Linked DNA regions of Callithrix jacchus. The protein of the gene in region 1 interacts with the protein of each later gene in a pairwise test. Links are inferred from orthologs where the notes say so. Each region holds a gene or a part of one and is shown on either strand. Other genes may lie near its edges. The genes, in order: LDOC1, LATS1 and POLL.

Region 1 (3,532 bases):
AAGATGGTCTTGATCTTTTGACCTCGTGATCCACCCGCCTCGTCCTCCCAAAGTGCTGGGATTAGAGGCTTGAGCCACCGCGCCCTGCAGAAATATTTGTTAAGATCAGGGTTTATCTTTATGGGTACACGTGCCCAGGATCCAGGATTTAATGTTAGCTGGAGCATCTGAGAGTGACATAAAAGCAATATACTATGTTGGCTATTTGGAGCCTGAACTCAGCAGCTACACATAGGCAATAAGGATTAAGGGGCAGAACTTCCCTGGTACAGTGTTAAGGAATCTGAAAGCTCAGATAATTGGGAGCATTACATCTCTCTCTCTCTCTCTCCCCCCTCTTCCAGGTTTATGACTGTTGTTATGGTCTAATTATTAATACTGCCTCTTTGCCATCTGCTCAGCCAAGCCTTACCCATGCCATTCTGGAGGAACCAGAGGACATACCCTTTGCCAGGGCTTTATGAAATACATTGGTGAAGGGAACATCAGAACACTGACAGAGCCCTGAGGTAGCTGTCGCCAACAGCCTGGAGATGACAGCGGGGAACCCTGATTTCCATGGGAATAATGGTAGACAGAGTGACAGTGTTGGAGGCCAGTGACAGCACTTAACCATTAAAAGACAATCATTTCTTTTTTTTGTAGTGCTTGATATTTATTGAAAATAATGCCAATGCTTTTTCCAGGTAGTATTGAGGAGCTGGGCTGAGTGCTTGCTTTGTTCTTAGTATTATTTGTCCAAATGCACACATCTGGGGGACTGCTGCAATTTTGAAAGTAAAGTGACAGCTGTGTAAAACCAATGCATAGGAAAAAAGAAATGTCAACAATTTGGCTGCCAGGCACACCAAGCCCCTGCAGCAATCTGGTGGGGCATGGGAGGACCCTCAGAGTGGGTAGAAAACTAACCAGGCTGAATGATTGGCCCCTTCATGGGTTGGTGAGCTGTCCGAATCAATGTCCGAAGAGGTATAGCCAACTCTGGCATCTTCCAGGTTGGTCCTTACTTCGAAAGGCGGTAGTATGTAGGTGGGATGTGGTGAGTGGATGTGAAGTGGCAGCATAGTTCTCTGGGCAGATGTAAGCCTGGCAGTAGGGTAGGTGGCAGCAGCAGGGCTATGGGTGGTATGACCAATTTATAATGGGGGCATGGCCAATAACTGGGGCTCAGGACACAGTTCGGATTAGCAGGGGAGGGATTCAGGGGCTGGCCAGGGTAGATGACACTTCCAAGCATTTCCGAGTGAGTGAGGCTTCAGCCCCAACCCCAGCAGCAGGTAAATGGAGCACTATTCCTGGAACAAAGACAAGCACTACGGAGAAACGAAGAGAGAGAACTGAAGGGCGCGAGTAGGGAAGGGGACCAGAGGGCAAGGCGGAGAACAGTGGCTCCCGGCGGGGTGAGGGCTGGAGAGAGGGGGTGGCGGCGTGCAGGGCCCTCCCCGCTAGGCCTGAGGGTCTAAGGCCTAGTAATCATCCTCTTCGTCGTCGTCGTCGTCTTCATCGTCATCCCAGCCAAAGCACTGTTTCATCTCATCGAGGAAGGCCCGGTAATCACCTAGGATGGGGCTATCCATCTCGATGTAGGGCACCACCCACTCCTCGGCTTCCCCGGTGAGGAGGCTGATTAGGAATGCCACCTTCATGGCGTCGTTGCAGAATCGGTTCTCGTTCACGAGCATGTAAGACGCCGTCTGCACGATAAACTCGGGGAGCCGGGAACTCTCGCCATTAAACGTTTCGGGGAAGGGCACCGGGCAGCTTGGCGGACGTACCTGGCGCAGCAGGCTGGCCCTCTCGCACACCAGCAGCCGCAGCTGTTCCATGAGCTGGCTGTTCTCGATGCTCAGGGCGCGGTGCCGCATCAGGAGCGCATGCAGCAGCAGCACCAGCTCATCCACCATGGCGAACGGCTTGGAAGTACAGGGCTCGGCTCGGTGCGGCTCGGTGCGGCTCGGCTCGGACAAGGTGCGTACGGAGGCCTCGCAGGAAGTGCTTGTCCACCAAGGCGCGCGAGGGCCAGGGGCGGGGGGCGGGGGGGCGGTGCGGTGCGCGCCGGAGTCCGGGAGGCTACGCAAGCCCCGCCCACGCGGCCTTTCGGACGGACGGTGCGCCGGCGCGGCGCGGGAGGGGCGTGGCCAGGCGAGGGGCCGCGGAAGCGTGGGGGCGTGGCCGGGATGGGAAGAGTGTAGACACACAGGGCTTGGCTAGGACTAGGATGCGCTGGGTTGCTGAACCACCGGCTTGTCGTAGCCCTCTAGGCGGGCAGTTAAAGGCTGCGGTCGGCTGTCAGAGCTCCTGGATGTGGGGCCTGAATTAGCAGAGGACCTGGCGAGCGCTGAATCCGGTCTCAGAGAAGGTACACTTGTTCAAGCTGAAAAGATTAACCACTCTTCTACCTAGCCAACTCGCACAACTCAGTGTTCCTTCGTGGGTCTGTGGCCACTAAATTCTCTTGGCGCGATGTTTTATTAACACATTTTCTTTCTTGTTTAAATCTCACTTAGCGAAGTATTGACACTGCTGGCTGCACTGTGGAAGTCACACTTCCTTTCAGGGTCATGAAGACCCTCAGGGGGTCCTGCCTTTCATGAAAAAGGCAGTATTTAAACAGTGACTTATTTAATTGGGAAATAATATGATATACCTACCTTAAAAAAAAAAAAAACCTAAATAGCAAGATATAAAAAGTTCTGCAAAATCAGCATCCGATAACCAATTGCAGGCATCCCACACATTTTATTCTCTATTTCTTGTTCTGCTACTAGTGCCATTGGCCACTGGGTATTATTCTCTACTTAAAAATGAACTGTGAAGATGTGAGTGTTTATAAATAATTTTCTTTTTCTACTTTAAATGGATCTCTGATCCTAGAGCTATCATGAATTATTGGCTCTGCTTTCAAATATATTGCCAATTCAATCATGTCTTGCCATTTCTACCACTGCCACCCTGATCCCCACCCAGCCTTTCTTTCTCACACACTGCTGCAACTAATCACTTAGCTTTCGCTTTTTTCTACCTATAGTATATTCTCCATAAAGTAGCCACGGGAATCATTTAAAACAAAAATTAGATCCCTTCACTCCCTTGCTCAAAATCATCCAAGTTTCATCTCAGAATAAAGAGCAAAGTTGCAGCCAAGGTCTACAAAGCCCTTCCTTCTATCCTATGCCTCTTCCCATTTTCTGCTATGCTCTAATCACTGTCCTTGCTGATTCTCACACACGTCAAGTAGTTCTGGCTTTGTAGCCTTTGCACCTTCTACCCCTTCTGCCTTGCAAGACTTGTCCCAGTTGGCTGCCTGACTCCTTCACCTACTGCTTTCAAAGAGAACTTTTCTGGCCACCGGACCTATCAGAGAACCCTGTTCTCTGCCACCAATCTCTAACCCTTGACTCTGCTTCATTTATCTACATAACATTTACTGTGCTACTGGCCAACATGTCAAATAGCACTTTGCTCATCATCTGCTTCTATTTTGCAATATATGTGTCAAAGAAACACTGCCTTTGCTACCTGCTGTATCCCT
Region 2 (3,749 bases), on another chromosome or scaffold:
AGCTGGAGTGCAGTGGTGCGGCTCACTGCAACCTCTACCTCCTTGATTCAAGAGATTCTCCTGCCTCAGCCTCCCGAGTAGCTGGGACTACAGGTGTGCACCACCATGCCCAACTAATTTTTGTATTTTTAGTAGAGACGGGGTTTCACTGTGTTGGCCATGCTGGTCTTGAACTCCTGACTTTGTGATCCGCCTGCCTGGCCTCCCAAAGTGCTGGGATTACAAGCGTGAGCCACCATGGCCAGCGGAACATAATCTTTTAACAGGTTTTCACATTTGGATTTCTGAATACAGTAAGCAGCCAGTTATTACTTTAACATCAGAAAAAGACGTCTGTAATTTTTTTGTAGTCTATAGTAGAAAAATTACGAAAGAAGTTACTTGAAAACACTATATTTTCTAGAGGAAAAACTGGCAAAGGCACTCTTCACAAAGGGTGGACAGTACCTTACACATCAAACCCAGTGATCCCATCCCAGATTTTCTATTCAACTTTACTAGAAGTAAAACCTCTTGTCTTGTCACACCGTCACCGTTATTCCAGTTAGGCAATAACGACCTCCTCCTACGGATGCAGTTGACAGGTCAGATCTCTAAACTCTGCTAATCGGTCCTGGCTCAAGAACTTCTTCTTGGCTGATTCAGAAAATACAGATGCTGGAACCTCATGGGCTTGTTCGGGGAAAGAACGCTAAGCAAGAATAAAATTTTATTTCAAAGCGCCAAAACTCGAATTTTGAGGTCCACAGCGAAGTTTCCCAGAACAACTCAACAGTTGTTCCCTTCGGAGAACGAAGCTCCGTGAAATGCGCATCCCTACTCGGTCCAGAGAAAGAGATCAATGGGAAAAAGGATTCAATCAACCGAGTGGGCTGGGCAGGAGAGAGCCTTAACCCACGGCCGCGGGCGAGTCTTCTGGGCAGGGCAGGCGGGAGCGACGTGGGGCGACGCTCACGAAGGCTCTGAGCGGCGGGCCACGCAACGAGGCCCAGAGGCCTCGGTTGCGCGCTCCCTAGCTGCTGCCGGGCGGGCAGAAGCCCCCAGTCTTCGGCCCCCGCGCAAGCGACGCCGGGAAATGCCCACATCCGGGAAACCTGCAACGGAGTGCGGCGGCGGCGACATTGAGTGGAAGGCAAAATGGCGGCGGCGGCAGTGGCCTGGTGTTAAGGGGAGAGCCAGGTCCTCGGGACCCCCGCGACGGGCCACAGTGGCCCGCGGCAGCCCTCCGGCGTCTCTACCCGCTCTGCCCCACCAGGGATACTTGGGGTTGCTGGGACGGGCTCCGGCCGTCTAGGCGCCCGCCCTCGGGCCGGTGGCCGCTGTCCAGGAGCTCTCCTTTCCCCTCCAGGTAGGTCCGGGGCTGGCGTAGCGGGTGGGGCTCACTTCTCCCGAGCTGGAGTTGGCGGGGCGGTGGCCGCTGGGGCCCACGCCCATCCCCGCTGGCGGGGGTCCAGAGGTTGCTGTGGACTGGCGGGCCGCGGCGGCCCGCTCCGGGCCTGACTGGGCTGGTTGCATTGACCTGAGCTGAGCCCTGCCCTGGGGAAGCGAGGGTTGGCCGCGCCCGGTGCTGCAGGAAGAGCCCCGGGCATTTCGGCCTCGGAAGTGCACGTTGGGCAGGGAAGAGCCTACCTTGCTGGCGGCCTTGCGCCGACTGTCTCCCACCCCACCCCCAAACGCGGGTCGGCGGTGTCCACAGGGAAGGAACGGGAAAGGTGGTTCTGAAGGAAATTTGCAGTGAAAGAGCTACAGTTTTTTGAATCCCAGAGGGCTCTGATCCTGGGTGTATCTTGAAGAAATCCTGGGAGTCTCTTATTTCTAGTTCAATGTGATAAAGGTTACTGTTCATAGTTGGAAATGGTGGGAGAGGTGGAGAGGTCTTTACGGAGTAGGGGTGTGTATATAAATACAGAAAATGAAGGAACGACAATTTAGGGAACAGCGTTTTTTATAACCTGAAAGGGCTTGTAGCTCAATGAATGACTTCCAGATGACTTAATCCCCATTCTGACTTCTCTGTCAATTTCTAATGGAACATAATTTAATGTTTGTCAACTCATATGTTAATACAACTTATAAAACATATATCATCCTCCAGAAGTTATTCATAAATCTTGTGAACAGTAAGTATAGTCTCCTGCACAGAAATAATACTGTATAACTCCAGTTTTGGAAATGAATTTGAATGTTAGTGATCATGAAGCTTGTCAGACCTTTACGAATTGTTTATTGAAGGTTAAAAATTTTTATCCATTTTCCTTCATGAGGAAGAAAAGGTAGGACATTATAGTTGGAATGAATGTTCTCTGCTACGAAAACAAAGCTTATCTCTGATGGTAAAATGGGGTAGTTGATTCCCTAAGGCAGTGGAAGAGTTTGAACAGTGAAAGAAGTAGCATTGTGTTAGTTCCATTGGCTGCTACTGCAAGAAACTAGATCATGGTCCATTCCTGGAACAGCACATTCTGTGCCTAAATATTGATTGAATATGACTTGTTGCTCTCCAAAAACAAGTAAAAAAAATTTTTTTGGCTGTATTTTAAATGTATAATATCTGGCTTTCATTGTGTAGGTCGTTTTTATTTTTGTTTTTATTGCTAGTCCTTGTTATGCTGTATACATAGTCTTGGAATGGTTCTAACTCTGGTTATTTATTCTAGATGTTTTATTTATATTAGTGGGAGATTGTTATACATCACAAAAGTTAGTCATTGAATAACATTTCCACCAAGTAGAAGCAGCAGTCCTTTTTCAGCATTTTTCACTTTTGATCCCACAATTATTAGAAAGTGAACAGAAGAAAATGTCAGTATCCAGTTTCCTGAATATCGCTGTTTATACGAATGAGACTATGCTGCTAAAAAAAGAAACAGCACATATTATTGTTGCTGTCCTTATTACTGATCTGGTCAAAGCTATGACATAGTCATCTTTTTTTTTTTTTAAATGGGGACTCGCTATGTTGCCTGTGCTGGATTCCAACTCCTGGGCTTGAACAGTCCTCCCACCACAGCCTCTCAAGTAGCTGGGACTACAGGCGCACTACTGCACCCAGCTAGGGTACCTTTCTGATAAACTTAATTCAACCCAATCTTATGTAATGGTACCTGTTTTTTTCCAAAGTTGGACAAACTAATGGATGATACTTGTTTGTCGTTTGTATTTTTGATGAGGGTCTGAACTTTAAAAAATAATAATAAGGCCAGGCGTGGTGGCTCAAGCCTGTAATCCCAGCACTTTGGGAGGCCGAGGCGGATGGATCATGAGGTCAAGAGATCGAGACCTTCCTGGTCAACATGATGAAACCTCATCTCTACTAAAAATACAAAAAAAATTAGCTGGGTATGGTGGCGCGTGCCTGTAATCCCAGCTACTCAGGAGGCTGAGGCAGGAGAATTGCCTGAACCCAGGAGGCGGAGGTTGCGGTGAGCCGAGATCGCACCATTGCACTTCAGCCTGGATAACAAGAGTGAAACTCCGTCTCAAAAAAAAAATAGAGATTTGTCATACCCAGGCAGTTTGATTCCAGAGCTCTTACTTTTAACGATTAGGTTAAAAATCATTGAAAGTTACGGAGTAGCTGGGCATGGTGGCTCACGCCTGTAATCCCAGCACTTTGGGAGGCCGAGGCAGGCAGATCACAAGGTCAGAAGATTGAGATCATCCTGGCCAATACAGTGAAACCCTGTCTTTAAAAAAAAAAAAAAAGATGGTGAAACATCTCTACTAAAAATACAAAAAAATAGCTGTGT
Region 3 (3,749 bases), on another chromosome or scaffold:
TAGTTATTTTTAACAATTTAAGAAGAGAGCTCAAGATGCTACTAGAAACATTTGAAAAAAAGACTGGGATCAGCCCACCTACTAGGGATGAAGATGCTGAATCCAGCTACATCCACCAGCCTCCTCTCCTGAAGGCACAAGCTCAGCCAGGCTGACTTCACCAGTTGAGCACCCTGGGGCAGCTGGGGTAATCTAAGAAGGCGGAGGGCCCGCTCATAGTCCATGCCATCATCCACCACAATGTGAGTGACACCTGGGGCCTGGGCAGGGCATAGCTGGCCACCATGCTGGACAATCTGCTTCTCAAAGAGTTCTGCCCGTGCTCGTCCAATGCCAGTGCGTACAACATGGGCCCGAAGGGAGCTCAGCCACTCTGTGGAAGGAATATCCAGATGACTACTGTCGTAACATTTTTATTTTTATCTGCCACCCCCTGGCTACAACATAACATCTAACATGATCTGAATGAAGTGTTTACAGTCTCCTACCCTGAAAATAAGCATTTCCCTTCCATCCAGTTTCCCTTCTACATATAGCAAATTTTCTCACAGGCCAGCACTTGAATGTAAGAGACAAAAAAAAAAATTTTTTTTTTTTGAGATGGAGTCTCACTCTGTTGCCCAGCCTGGAATGCAATGGTGTGATCTCAGCTCAGTGCAACCTCCGCCTCCTGGGTTCAAGTGATTCTCCTGCCTCAGCCTCCCGAGTAGCTGGGATTACAGGCATGCACCACCATGCCTAGCTAATTTTTGTATTTTTAGTAGAGACGGGGTTTCACCATGTTGGCCAGGGTGGTCTCGATCTCTTGACCTCATGATCTGCCCACCTTGATCTTCCAAAGTATTGGGATTACAGGCATGAGCCACCTCGCCCACCCGGGACAAGGATACATCCTGTTTCCTGGTGCAACCTAGAAGTGTCTGGCACATTGTAAGTAACCTGCAAATATCTGTTGAATTAATGCCTCCTCCCGTCTTACTTTGTTTGTTTTTGTTTTTTTTGAGATAGGCTCACTCTGTCGCCCAGGCAGGAGTGCATGCAGTAGCATGATCTCAGCTCACTGCAACCTCCATCTTCCAGGTTCAAGCAATTCTCGTGCCTTGGCCTCCCAAGTAGCTGGGATTACAGGTGTGTGCCACCATACCTGGCTAATTTTTTGTATTTTTAGCAGAGACGGGATTTTGCCATGTTGCCCAGGCTGGTCTCACACTCCTGAGCTCGGGTGATCTGCCTGCCTCAGCCTCCCAAAGTGCTGGGATTACATGCATGAGCCGCCACACTCCGCTTCCCTCCTTACTTTGAATCCCTTACCATTTATTCTTTCAACAAAGCACATATTTCTTGCCATTACATGTTTCTTGCCCTTACAGTCTGCCAGACCTGACAATCCTGTCCCCAAAGCCTCTGCCATTTATTTGTCAATTTGCCTGCAAAACAACTAACATCAAACCTGGGTAATGGAGGGGATTTCTGCTTGTCCCCCAAGGCAAAAATTCTACTGGTCATTCCCTGAGAGTCCAGGGAGTCCTTTCTGATTTATAGAGGTCTTTGGGTAGAAAAGAAGATAACACAGCAAATGGCCTGTCCAAGACCCAGGACCAAGCTTAGTACAAAGCAGGTACAAACAGACCTGCAAGCCCTGGACAGGCAAAGTCAGCTCCAATATCTGATTCTGGACATGAACAACGTAGGGCTGAAGCACATGAAGGCTGAGGGTTCAAGGGAATGAGGGTTCTGAGGGTCGGTTAACTCACCTTCTGCTTCTTCTCCCTCTTCCCTCCTGGGAATCTTTGCAAGTACTTTTGATGATGCATCGGCATGAATTTTCTTCCGCTTGGGAAATGCCTTCAAGATACCCCTGGGATCCATTGAAGTACGGCTAGATCTCGGTCTGTCAGAGGGTTGACCAGGGCAGCTGTCATGTGGAAATTCAAAATTCATGCTCTCCAACCTATTTGCCTGTGGAGGTAGGGTGTTCCCTGACTAGGCCTTAGGGATAGCAGCCCAGTTCGGGGAGACAGTGCTGGGGGGGGGTCTCCTCAAACCCCATTAAACTTCACTGGTGTAGCCTAGCTTCCCACTCCCCAGCCTTTCAAAGTATTAGTCTTTCGGAGTATTAGGGGGAAATGAGAAGACTGGGACCATTGGGGGTACTTTTGAGGAGCAGGAAACAACACCATTCCTCACTGGGGTTGCTCTAAAGATTCAGCACAGCCCTACTGCTGCAGCCCCCTTCTGAAGGGCTTTACCAAAATGGGATACTGGGCTAGGGAGTGGAGCGGAGACTGGGGAGAACCTGCACCATAAACCCCACATAATCTTTCTCTACCTTCAACACAGTTGCAGAGGAAAACCTAAGGAGGGGGACTTTCGGGGGTGAGTGGGAACGCCCTGCACCTGCCCTGGTCTCAGCCTCTCGGCACGGGGGTGCTCAGCCCCACAGCTGCGGGGAGATAGGGCACGGCCGCAGCAGGTGTGAGGCACCCTCCGGATTGGAGGAGTCTCAGTCTCGCAGCTGGGGATGGAGAAGACCCGGGCAGGTGTGCTGTACCCGACGCGTACGCAGCTGGCGCAGGCCGGGGAATCCCAGCTCCGGGCTAGAGGAAAGCTGCAGCGCCCGACCCAGGCTCCAAGAGTCCCTCTCCAACCCCCGAAGTCGGTCCCCGGGTGGGTTAGACAACTGGCCAAGCTGATCATTCGCAGGTGGGCAGGAATAAATCACTTACCAGGAGAGCCAATGAGAGCGGACGAAGGGGGAAAAGCGAGCAAATGCCCAGAATAGCTTCCGAGTCAGCCGGAAGTGACCCTCAGTGGAACGGTTGCCATGGCAGCGGCCGGGCGCGCTGCTTGGCAGAGGAAAGATGGCGGTGACGGGATGGTTGGAGAGTCTGCGGACGGCCGAGAAGACTGCGCTGCTGCAGGATGGTAACTCGAGAGCCCTCGCGAGCTCCCTCGTTTTTTCCCCCCAGGGTCCACCCCACAGGAAAGGCCTCAGGGTCTGCAGAGCTGAAAGGGTCTCGGCAGTCAGCTGGGCCAGGTCCCTGCATTTGTAGATGAGGAGACTGAGGCTCAGAGATGACGTGACTGGAACACAGGTCTCCGGACACCGATTAGATTCCTCTACACCAACTCGCTCTGCTTTGAGTTTGTTGCTAATATAATAATTTCTTTCACATTCATTATCTCATTTGCTCCTCACCACTGTCCTGAGAGGTTAATTTTTCACCCCGTTTTACAGAAGAGGAAACTGAACTCCAAGAATGCTTCAGACTTTAGAGAGGAAAGAGGCCTGGGCTGTAGTTCCGACTCTGCCATTAATTCACCACGGGCTCTTCAGCCCTTTAATTTGTTTGGACCTCACTTTCATCGTCTGTAAAATGAAGTGGATGGGCTACCACTGAGGCCCTTTCCAGCTGTAATATTTTTGTAAAGTGAACGTCTTTTTTTTTTTTTAAAGACGGGGTTTCACCATGTTGGTCAGTCTGGTATTGAACTCCCGACCTCAGGTGATCCGCCCGTCTTGGCCTCCAAAGTGCTTGGATTACAGGCGTGAGCCACTACTCCCGGCCTAAAGTGAACCTCTTAATGTTTTCTGTGTCTTTAGGAGAGCTAGAGCAAGGACCAAGGGCTGTGCCTGGAAGAGGTGGGCACAGGGGCATGGATACCTAACTTTTTGCCACCCTAGGATTGGCCGATGTCGCCCCTCTGTGCACTTGGGTCCTTTCTGGACCCACTGGGGAGCCAGGTTG

Evidence for each region.
Region 2: the proteins of LDOC1 (region 1) and LATS1 interact in a two-hybrid assay, tested with the Homo sapiens proteins (2 studies listed by BioGRID and IntAct). The two-hybrid records come from large-scale screens. The link is inferred for Callithrix jacchus from reciprocal best matches to the Homo sapiens genes LDOC1 and LATS1.
Region 3: the proteins of LDOC1 (region 1) and POLL interact in a two-hybrid assay, tested with the Homo sapiens proteins (2 studies listed by BioGRID and IntAct). The two-hybrid records come from large-scale screens. The link is inferred for Callithrix jacchus from reciprocal best matches to the Homo sapiens genes LDOC1 and POLL.

The regions. Positions count from the first base shown.
Region 1 is NC_133524.1:138,057,617-138,061,148, reverse strand, and holds LDOC1 (protein LDOC1), read right to left. Parts: upstream 2,035-3,532; 5' UTR 1,905-2,034; coding exon 1,467-1,904; 3' UTR 630-1,466; downstream 1-629. UniProt on the Homo sapiens protein: May have an important role in the development and/or progression of some cancers.
Region 2 is NC_133505.1:156,496,336-156,500,084, reverse strand, and holds the start of LATS1 (serine/threonine-protein kinase LATS1), read left to right. Parts: upstream 1-1,117; 5' UTR 1,118-1,348; exon of another isoform or gene 1,349-1,694; intron 1,695-3,749. UniProt on the Homo sapiens protein: Negative regulator of YAP1 in the Hippo signaling pathway that plays a pivotal role in organ size control and tumor suppression by restricting proliferation and promoting apoptosis.
Region 3 is NC_133513.1:94,543,026-94,546,774, forward strand, and holds the start of POLL (DNA polymerase lambda), read right to left. Parts: upstream 2,774-3,749; 5' UTR 2,698-2,773; coding exon 2,552-2,697; exon of another isoform or gene 2,330-2,551; intron 1,960-2,329; exon of another isoform or gene 1,942-1,959; coding exon of another isoform or gene 1,916-1,941; coding exon 1,755-1,915; intron 374-1,754; coding exon 79-373; intron 1-78. Other genes in the region: protein DPCD, read left to right, coding at 2,862-2,925.